Linked DNA regions of Caenorhabditis elegans. Changing the gene in region 1 together with any one later gene gives a genetic interaction. Each region holds a gene or a part of one and is shown on either strand. Other genes may lie near its edges.

Region 1 (3,220 bases):
GATCCACGTGAGACTCCATGGTTGACTGGTTGCTGTTGCTGAATGCAGACCAGTGATGTGATGATATGGCTCCAGTGACTCGTCTTTTTATACCATTTCCACTTGTTGTTTATTCCGAGAACCAGTTATGAACAACAGGCATCCATCCTCCCTTCTCTTCTGTTCATACAGTGGCGTTGCAAGAGACATTTGGTTCCACATACATTATTGTCATTTTCCTGTGGTTTCTGTAATTGTTACCAATTGGTTAGCGGTTCTGATTCGTGTTTGTGTTATCTTAGTCATGTTTCGTATAATTTTACATGGAAGTTCAAGTGGAATCAGTATTTTCAGTATAAACTAGTTATTTTAAGAAGAATGAAAATTGAATTGTTAAAATCAATAAAGATTCGCAAACAAAGGTTATTCATTTTTTTATAAATTGAAACTAGTAAGAAATTTAGTGGATCTATGCAAATTTGATGGGTTTTGCCAAACTCTCTTCATTCAGAACACAGTTATTAAAGCATTTTTTAAACAAACTCCCGTATGCAAATACAAATTTTCCTATGTAATTTCAGGAAAAACTTTCCAAAAACACCTTAAAATTTTGGTTATGATTATTTTTTTACCCCTTGACATAAACAATTCCAAAACATTCTCAATTCTGATTTTACAATATGACTTCCGAAGGTTTTAGAATTTTTAATAAGACCTTTCACAATCAAGGCAACTTCAAAAGAATTTAGGTTTGAGTTTAATACTGCAATTTTACAAAATATATTTTTATGGATTCATTTTCAAATTTTAGAGTACAAAAACGGATATAAAATTTAAACGACTTTGAAAACGTACAATTAACTTTTTTTGGGATTTCAGATCATATGTAAATGTTTTTTTTATTAGTTGACCATTTTTCACATTTTCTTGATTTACTGAACGCTTTTTAAACAACTACTTCATTTTGTTCATCACATTTTGTTTTCTTCAAAGTTCTACCTTCTAGCTCCAAATCTTCCGGTAGTTGTCAAAAAGTTTCGACGATAAGGGTTCCTTGTCGTAATATTTGCAATTCACATGACAAATTTTCAACGAAAATTTGAATGCTCCAGGCTTGTGGAAGCTGAGACTGTTAAAACATTACTTTTTGGGACAAACAAGGGTCATTGTTTTTTTTTGCGCAATCATTACGTTGTCTGTAGCAATATCTCTAAAATGTGTTGTATCTGAAATATCTATACTTTAAAAAAATTGCTGCTGCAAAGTTAGTACAAAGCTAGTACAAATAACAATTAGTTATTCATGCAACGCTTCTACTAAAGCTACAGCGATTATTCGAAGTATGGCAGTAAGATTTAGTTGAGTAATCAGTCTAACACGTCTTCCCTTCTCTCAATTTCTTATTCGTCTGTTCCGTTTCCAAAGGTTTAAAGAGAAAGTTGTATCTTAATTGCATCGCAACCACGTCAAGAACAGTAACTGCGTTGTCTTCATCAAACTTTTTTATTTTCTTATTGCGCAATTCTGGAAACAAGGAACTGATAACAGAAGAGATAGAGAGTAGACCAGAGAAAGTTACAATCCTTCAAACTTTTTTTCAACAGAATCCAGCCTTTCTCTCTCAAATTGATAAGACCAGTGTGACCAAACCCCTTGGATTTCCTATAAAAGGACAATGATGATACAAGGTTATTCGTCGACCGTTCGGTTAACTCTTCGTTGAAGGTTTGCGATTTTTGTTTAATTGTTTTCTCAATAATGAATTTGTTTCAGATGTCGTACGCGGTTGCAGTCACAAGTGCTGCATCAATTGTTGCCACTGGCATGTTGCTCATTTCCGTTGGAAATATTATCTCGGACTTGAATAATTTGCAATTAGAGATTACCGATGGAATGAATGATTTCAAGGTTTAATCTGAATAGATTGTATATAACCAATGAATATTATTTCCAGATGAAGTCCGATGAGACATGGTCTCGCATCCTCTCCCTTCACGTCAACCCAACTGGCGAGACCGCTGCCCCACCAAACTTCAAGACTCTTTTCGGACGTCACAAGCGTGACAACAGCCAATGCCACTGCGGACTTCAGTCTCAAGGATGCCCAGACGGGCCACCAGGAGCTCGTGGACCACAAGGAGCGCCAGGACTTCCAGGAGCTCCAGGAGTTGATGGAAAGCCAGGAGTCGACGGAAAATCTCTCACATATGTTCACGCCGCAGAGGCTGATTGCATTCCATGCCCAGGAGGAGAGGCTGGACCACCTGGACCAGATGGAGAGCCAGGAGTCCGAGGACCAAATGGACCACCAGGACCAAACGGACATCCAGGACAACCAGGAAGACCAGGACCAGCCGGACCAGCTGGGCCAGAAGGAAAAGACGGACCAGTTGGACCACATGGACCAGCCGGACCAGCCGGACCACGCGGAACTCGCCACTCCGCCGGAGTACCAGGAAAACCAGGAGATGTCGGACCATGCGGACCAGAAGGACCAAAGGGAGCCCCAGGAACTCCAGGAAAGAACGGAGCTCCAGGAGATCGTGGATTTGGTGGACAACCAGGAGTTCCAGGAGAGCCAGGAGAGGATGGTACTCCAGGAGAACCAGGTGCCGATGGTGCTCCAGGAGACGATGCCGGATATTGCGCATGCCCAGGAAGAACCATGTTCGAGGCCTGAAATGGTCAAATCCAATAAACAATTTATCATTCATTTAGTGTTCTTGTTTGGCAAACTGGTTTCAGGGAAAGTGAGGGGGTTGTGTCATCGAAATGAAATGAAAAAATAACATTACAAAGGGAAGATCAGTGTGATCTAACAAAGAGATGATAAGGAACGATTGGAAAGTGTAATGTCTTTTTTCATGGATGGATGATAAGAACGAGCGTTTTAAAACGTTCGAGGAACAGTGAAAGATTGGAACGGGTTTAAAGTTGAGTTGGGTTGGTATGATAAAGTTTTAAATTCCTTTAAACACTTTAAGTAAATCAGATTTTTTTGCGGAAATGAGAAGATTTGCAGAAATATATCGAACGGTGTTTCAAAATCATATTTTTCTAAAAGCAATGCAAATGTTTTTTTTCTGGTGAGAAAGTATATCGTACTGTAAAATAAAACTGTTTTCGTTCGTAAACGGCTAATCAAGCATGCTGAAAAAACAGTTATACGAAATGATTGATATGAAACACAAATAATACATCTCAGTGGCATTTATTTCAAAAGTCGCCACGTAGCAAACTT
Region 2 (7,966 bases), on another chromosome or scaffold:
ATGTCAAATTGAGTGAAATTTACAATATGCTTAATAGGGATCAGAAACTTGGACCGGTTGTTCAGAATTTTAGCTTTCTTCCATTGCTCGAGTTCCACAACGCCATTTATCGGCTCATAGTACTTTAGGAATTGAGCTTGGAGAGTTATTTCTTCGAGAATTTCAGGTTCGAACTTCTGAAGTATTTCAGAAACTTCACGGGCGGTGAAGTCATCGATAATCACTTTTTTCGCTTTTAACTTGAAGTTTAAGGATTCGAAAAATGACTCAATTGCCTTTAAAATGATTTTTCTTTCATTAAAATTGTTGGTAGCCAGCTGTATCAGAAATTCATCAACTTCAGGGTACTTCACCAAGCTCTTCAAGTCCTCCATCAACATTTCAACGTGGTTCCTTCCAGCATGTACTCGGCCACTGTTCTTATATTCAACTTGGCAGGCTCCATCAACTTGCTCATAGGTAACCCCGCCGTAGTTCTCATCGAGAATTAGTCTTGAAAATTTTTCATGAAAATTTACATGAACCGTCTTCAGATTTGGACCGAGGTTATCGATTATTGCTCGGAAGCTGTAGGACACTTTTCGAGCGATTAGCCTGAATTTTCAATGCTTTTTTTCTTTAAAAAAACAAGGAAAACTCACCTTTCCAAAGCTTCCAGATTATTCAAAATTTGTTCAATAAGTTCGATTGGCAAGTCGGAGAGTGATGACATTTTGAGAAATTTGAAGAAAAAATGAAGTGATTTCAACACAGTTCTCTGTGACTAGTGGCCTAGTTGGACAGCGCAGAGACGCAGGCGCACCAGCTGACTAGAGAGTATGAGAATCAGACACCGAAGGTGTTTCAGAACTGGCCGCCAACTTGAACCTGTAAAATGTAGGCACAGCTTGAACCCTTGGCTTTAAATAAAATGTAGTCTTAGTTTGAAACCATGTGTATTCAGACAGGCTTTTCACTGTCTTACTTCCAGAAATTTCAGGAGTCGCATACGAAATTTACGTAGCAGTCATCGAAATTTTAAACAGAAAGCTAAGACCTGCGGCTAAGCCTGAGACTAATTTTAGGCCAAATTTTTGAGCCTAAGCCTAACTATTAGTTAGACCTTCTTATGTATTTGGCGATGGCAAAACGGTAATATCGAAGATTTTCAATTATTTTTGCCATTTTTCAAACAGTTCATGTGTATTCGTATTAAAACATTGTAGGGGTCGAAACATGCGACATTTCTTTAAATTTCCTCAAAAGCTCGTATTCAAAATTTTGGTAAATTGCCAAAAATTTTTTTTTGAAGTTTTATTATGATATTTGATCTTTTTTACACTATTGGAGTAGTTTTTAACACTTTCCCCACTGACGCTACTCCACCTTTAATAACGTGGTGACGTCACAATCTTTTTGTAGATCAAACCGGCATGGGACAGCCTGACACCACGTGAAAATACCAAAGGAGGCGAAATTTTACAAATTCAATTTTTGTTAAAACTGATTTGAGCCCACAAAAACAAAAAAGTGATGGCTAAAAAAAAGTGATGGTTAATTTCACGACACTACTTGAATAACCCCATTTTATCTGAATTTACGGTTTTGCCGCCAAATACCTAACGGGGCCCAATTTTTTTGGGTTCTAACTTTTTTTGTCTTCAAATTCAAATTTCCCCTTATTATACATTCAAAAAACCACGTACTTCTTTCATTTTTATCTTCTCATTCAAGCGAAACTTTTTCCCGCGGAAATTTGAGTGCAAGCGCGCTCCACTGCACCTTTCTCGTCTGCGTCTCCACCTTTCCCATTGTCTCTAATCCGTGACGAAACCTCATCATTTCTCGCATTTTGGAGGGGAATTCAAATTGATTTCTCTTGGTTTTTCTCGTTTTTTCTTGATTTTTCTCGTTTTTCAGCTCATTTTTAACCAAAAAATCGGATTTTTCAACTAAAATTCCGCATTTCAGCCATGGAAGACTCGTACAACGACATGGAAGACCCCGGCTTCCGCCAATTATCTGACATGGAGCTTCAAAAAGCGCTGGAAATGACCAAACAGAGCTCGATAAAGAACAATTTGATGCTCGGGCTCGACAATGAGCTTGACTTTGATTTTGGTACAATATTTGTCGAATTTTAAGCCGAAAACCCCGAAATTTCCAGATTTCGACGAGGATGAGGACCTGGATCAACCACAAATGGGCACACGAGCCGATAAATCGTTGGGATTGTTGGCGAAACGATTTATTCGAATGATTCAGTACTCACCGTATGGAAGATGCGATTTGAACACTGTATTTTTGAAAAAAATCGTGAATTTCGCAATTTTCGTATTTTTTAGGCCGCCGAGGCGCTCAATGTCCGGCAAAAGCGACGAATCTACGATATTACGAATGTTCTCGAAGGAATTGGTCTTATTGAGAAAAGAAGCAAGAATATGATACAGTGGAAGTAAGAAAGTCGAATTTTCAGCAGGAAAAATGACGTTTTTCAATGAATCGGCGGAAAATCGTATTTTAACAAGAAAAATGACATGTTTAGAAAAAAAATCAATTTTGTGTCAAAATATTGATTTTTCAGCTCAAAAAGCTTAAAATGCAAGAAATTTCGGAAAATTTCAGATTTTTACGTGAAAAATCGCATTTTCAGCCAAAAAATGGCGCTTTCCGGCAAAATGGATGAAAATCACATTTTTTGGAATATAGCTCCTATTTCCTGTAAAAATCGATAAATTCGATTTCTAAAACACTAATTTTTGAGATTTTTCACCGAAACAAATCGAATTTTCATATGAAAATTTCATTTTTGACACAAAATCACTTTTTAAAGTTAAATTTTCAATTCAAAGCTCAATTTTGTGGCAAAATCCTTATTTTTCAGCTTAAAAACATGAAAATTGCTGAAAATTTCAGATTTTTACGTGGAAAATCGGGTTTTCAGCCAGAAAACACAAGAAAAGGTCATTTTTAACACAAAATTACATTTTCAAAGCCAATTTTTCTATAATAGCCTCAATTTCGCTCCAATTTCGGTGAAAATCTCTATTTTCCGGCTCAAAAACCGCTTTTTTGCACATTTTTCCCCGGAAAACTCAATTTTTTGTTTTCAGAGGCGGTGATTTTATGCTAAACGTGAAGGAAGGGAAACGACAATCGGCCACAACAGAAGAAGAAGATCGAATGGAACAATTAAAAGCTGAAATTGAGCAATTAAATAAGGAAGAAGAGCTCATTGAGCAACGTCAAAGATGGCTTCAGCAGGTAGCGAATTTCCAGAAAATTTGATGAAAAATTTGCTGAAAATCGATGAAAATTGAGCCAAATTTACGCAAAAATTGGCTGAAAAATGACCAAAAATTTCAGAAAAATTCAGCCGAAAATTGAGAATTATTTGCTGAAAGTCGCTAAAAATTTGATCAAAATTGAGCAAAAACTGGCTAATTTTGATAGAAAATTGAGCAAAAATCACTGGAAATAAGGCTGGAAATTGGAAAAAATTTAACCAAAAAGTCCTGAAAAAAATAGAAAAATTCAGTCGAAAATTCTGGAAAAATATGGCTGAACATCATTAAAAATTGAGCCGAAATTTAGAAATAATGGGGCTGAAAATCGCTGAAAAAAGCTGAAAATTTGACTTAACTTCCTGAAAAATTAGTCTGAAAATCGTTGAAAACTGCTGAAATTTTGCCAAAATTTCCTCCAATTTTCTGAAAAAAATATGGATGAAATTTCGAGAAAATCAAGATAAAAATGGTGCCAAAATGATGAAAATTTTGTAAAATAAATTCTGGAAATTTCGGCTAAAAATTGCTTGAAATTGGTCCAAAACTGCTGAAATTTGGCAGAAAATTTCTTAAAAATTCAGTCAAAACTTCTGGAAAATTCGCTGAAAAATGGTCAAAAATTCATTAAAATTGCGGACAATTTTTCTGAAAATTTATAGGAAATTTCAGGCAATCTGAGCCAAATTTTCCACAATTTTTTTTTGAAATTTTTGGTCAATTTTTCGACAGTTTTAAGCCAAAACCGCTGAAATTCTCAAATTTCAGAGCCTCCGAAACATGACAGAATCCGTGGAGAACAACAAGCTCAGCTATGTGCTCCGTTCACAGCTCGCCGAGATTCAAGGCTCAGATCTTACGATTGGAATTCAAACGAGAGTCGGCACACAAGTTCGGCTCAGTGATCCGGAGGTAGAGAAGAAAATGACGCGAAAATTGGAATTTTCAATGAAAATTTAATGGAAAAACCTGGAAAATTGTGGAAAATTCATATTTTTCTTGGAAAAAACGGGTACAAAACCCGATTTTAACTGAAAAAAACGCTGATTTTTGCTCAAAATTAATTCTTTTTAAGAATTTTCGATGAGAAAAATGAATTTTTTAATTTAAAATACATAAAAAACTAGAAGACTGTCCAAAAACCGAAATTTCTGTCAAAAAAGTGTAAAAACTTCTCCTCGTGGAGTACACGAGCTGCGTAAATCTACGCAATATTTTTCTGTGTTTTTTGTATGCAAATTTGTAAAAAAAATATCAAAAAAATAAATTTTTGGCTGAAAAACGGTGAAACATAATTTTAAACAATATTTAAATACAAATTATTTGTTCTAAAAATTTTTTAAAAATTCTTAAATTTCCCTGATTTTTAGCAAAAATAACGAAAATTCTTCAAAAAATTTGATTTTCTGCTAAAAAAAGTGTAAAAGCCTCCCCTCGGGGAGTACACGGGCTGCGTAAATCTACACAAATAATTTTTTTCAGCTAAAAATTGATAAAACGAAAAAATTAAATAAAAATGTTAAAAAAAAAGAAGAAACTTTTTCAATTTTTAGAAAAAAAAAAGAAAAAAAAAGCTCCTTTTTCCAAAAAAAAGCAGAATTTTTTTTTGTAAATTTCCCAAAATTTGGCGAGTTTTCATTTTTTTTTTGTTGTAAATTTGACGATTTTCGTAAAACTGTCGTAAAATACAAAAAAATAGACTTTTTTTCGAAATATTTTGTTAAAAATCAGAAAAAAAATTTTTTTTAATTGATTTTAAAATTCACAGAATTTTTTTCGATAAATTTCAGAAAATTCCTGAAAAAACTGAAAAAGATTTTCAAAAAAAAAAACGCAATTTTCGCTCTATTTGGCTCTAAAAAACAAGACAATTAAACAAAAATCAGAATAAAAATTTTAAAAAAATTGTTTATAAAATTTTTGATAAATTTTAGAAAATTTCGGAAAAATCTTCTTTTTTTTCAAAAAAAAAATCGAACATTTTCAATTTTTATTTTCCCCCATTTTTTCCAATGAAATTAAAATTGCAGCAAGTCGATTTTTGATCGAAAAAAAGCATTATTTCTATGTGAAATGCATAAAAACCTATTACGGGAACAATAAATCATGAGAATGCGTACTTGGTGCATTTTATTTGACGCGCGATATCTCTTAGCGAAAACTACATACAGTAAATGCTTAAATATCTATTGTTATTTGAGTTCTTACTGTAGTTTTCGCTAAGAGATATCGCGCGTCAAATAAAATGCACCAAGTACGCATTCTCATGATATATTGTTCCCGTAATAGAAGACTGCCCAAAAACTGAATCTTCTGTCAAAAAAGTGTAAAAGCTTGTCCTCGGGGACTACGAGCTGCGTAAATCTACACAATATTTTCCTGTTTTTTTTCTCAATTTTCGCTTTTTTTTTTGTATGCAAATTTGTAAAAAATATCAACAAAAATTTTTTTTTGGCTGAAGAACGACGAAAAATAATTTTAAACAATTTACAAATCATTTGTTCTAAAAAATTTTTTTTAAATCACACTTGTTTCTTAAATTTCCCTGATTTTTAGCAAAAATAACGAACATTCTTCAAAAAATTTGATTTTCTGCTGAAAAAGTGTAAAAGCCTCTCCTCGGGGAGTACACGAGCTGCGTAAATCTACACAAATAATTTTTTTTTTGGATAAAAAATTGATAAAACGAAAAAATTAAATAAAAACGTAAAAAAAAGAAGAAACATTTTCAATTTTTAGAAAAAAAAAAAAGGAAAAAAATGCTCTTTTTTTCCAAAAAAAAAGCAGAATTTTTTTGTAAATTTCCCAAAATTTGGCGAGTTTTCATTTTTTTTTTGTTGTAAATTTGACGATTTTCGTAAAACTGTCGTAAAATACAAAAAAATAGACTTTTTTTCAAAATATTTTGTTAAAAACACAAAATTTTGTAAAAAATCCGAACAAAAATTATTAAAAAATTCATAGAATTTTTTTTGATAAATTTCAAAAAATTCCTGAAAAAACTGAAAAAGATTTTCAAAAAAAAACGCAATTTTCGCTCTATTTGGCTCTAAAAAACAAGACAAATTAAAAAATATCAGAATAAAAATTTTTAAAAAAATTGTTTATAAAATTTTTGATAAATTTTAGAAAATTCCGGAAAAATCTTCTTTTTTTTCAAAAAAAAATTTTCAATTTTTATTTTCCCCCATTTTTTCCAATGAAATTTTAAAAAAATTGCAGAAAGTCGATTTTTGATCGAAAAAAAGCATTATTTCTATGTGAAATGCATAAAAACCTAGAAAACTGTCCAAAAACCGAAATTTCTGCCAAAAAAACTAAAAACTTCTCTTCGGGGACTACACAAGCTGCGTAAATCTACACAAAAAATTTTTGTGTTTTTTTTTTCTCAGTTTTCGCTTTTTTTGTATGCAAATTTGTAAAAAAGTATTTAAAAAATAAATTTTTGGCTGAAAAACGACGAAAAATAAATTCTAAAAATTTACAAATTATTTGTTCTAAAAGATTTTGAAAAAATTACACTTGTTTCTTAAATTCAGCAAAAGCAGAATTTTTTTGTAAATTTCGCACAATTTGGCGGTTTTTTAATGGAAATTTGACGATTTTCATAAAATTGTCGTAAAATACAAAAAAAATAGTTTTTTTTCAAAATATTTTGTTAAAAATCAGAAAAAAAATTTTTTTTAATTGATTTTAAAATTCACAGAATTTTTTTTCGATAAATTTCAGAAAATTCCTGAAAAAACTGAAAAAGATTTTCAAAAAAAAAAACGCAATTTTCGCTCTATTTGGCTCTAAAAAACAAGACAATTAAAAAAAAATCAGAATAAAAATTTTAAAAAAATTGTTTATAAAATTTTTGATAAATTTTAGAAAATTCCGGAAAAAATTTTTTTTTTCAACAAAAAATCGAAAATTTTCAATTTTTATTTTTTCCCCATTTTTTCCAATAAAAAAAATTGCAGCAAGTCGAGATACACGGTGGACCATCTTGGTGTTACCTGAAAGATCCCTCTGGACCCCTCCGAGCCGCCATCGTTTCCAACCATGAGCTACATGATTTTGTACAGAGAGAACGAGCAAAACGGCCTGGTGAAGAGCACGTTGACGCTGATGCTCCAGATGAAATGATGGATGATTCAAGATATCGGAATCGGCGGACGATCAATGATGATGAAATGTTTGGTTTTGAGCAGAAAGGTGCTGCTGAATTGCTGGAAATTTTGCTTATTTTTTAAAGCAGAATTTTGAGAAAAAATGGATTTTTTTCACTGAAAGTAGCTAAAAAATAGCTTAAAAATGAAGAATTTTGAAAAAAAAAATTGGAAAAATCATCATTTTTTCCAAGAAAACACCAAAAAAACTGGACTTTTATGGACGTTTTTTCGAAGCTAAAAAATCCAAAAAATTTACTTTTTCTGATAAAAAACATTTTCCTTTTGTTTTCTGCACCGTTTTCTAGAGTTTTTCGAATCGAAAAATAATTCTCAGATTTTTTCACATGAAAATTTGAAATTTAAGCGAAAAAAACATCAAAACTGTTTTTTAACAAAAAAAATTGAAAAAAAAAACCGGAAAACCTAGAAATCCGCCAAAAAATTTGAGAAAATTTTCACAAAAAAAAGCATAAACTGAATTACATAAAATTCTTTTAAAAATTACAGAAAAACTGGGAAAATTTGGGAAAATTACCTCTTCTTTTT

What was found. Genes that interact genetically often act in the same process or in processes that back each other up.
Region 2: of col-184 (region 1) and efl-1, changing one enhances a phenotype caused by changing the other (phenotypic enhancement), as found in Caenorhabditis elegans (one large-scale study listed by BioGRID).

Annotation. Positions count from the first base shown.
Region 1 is NC_003284.9:13,467,718-13,470,937, forward strand, and holds col-184 (Nematode cuticle collagen N-terminal domain-containing protein), read left to right. Parts: upstream 1-1,737; coding exon 1,738-1,887; intron 1,888-1,933; coding exon 1,934-2,659; 3' UTR 2,660-2,692; downstream 2,693-3,220. Other genes in the region: col-183 (Nematode cuticle collagen N-terminal domain-containing protein), read right to left, coding at 1-19.
Region 2 is NC_003283.11:16,959,660-16,967,625, reverse strand, and holds the start of efl-1 (E2F/DP family winged-helix DNA-binding domain-containing protein), read left to right. Parts: upstream 1-1,950; 5' UTR 1,951-1,952; coding exon 1,953-2,100; intron 2,101-2,146; coding exon 2,147-2,277; intron 2,278-2,324; coding exon 2,325-2,434; intron 2,435-3,092; coding exon 3,093-3,243; intron 3,244-4,031; coding exon 4,032-4,175; intron 4,176-7,228; coding exon 7,229-7,463; intron 7,464-7,966. Other genes in the region: fbxa-90 (F-box domain-containing protein), read right to left, coding at 1-594, 642-712.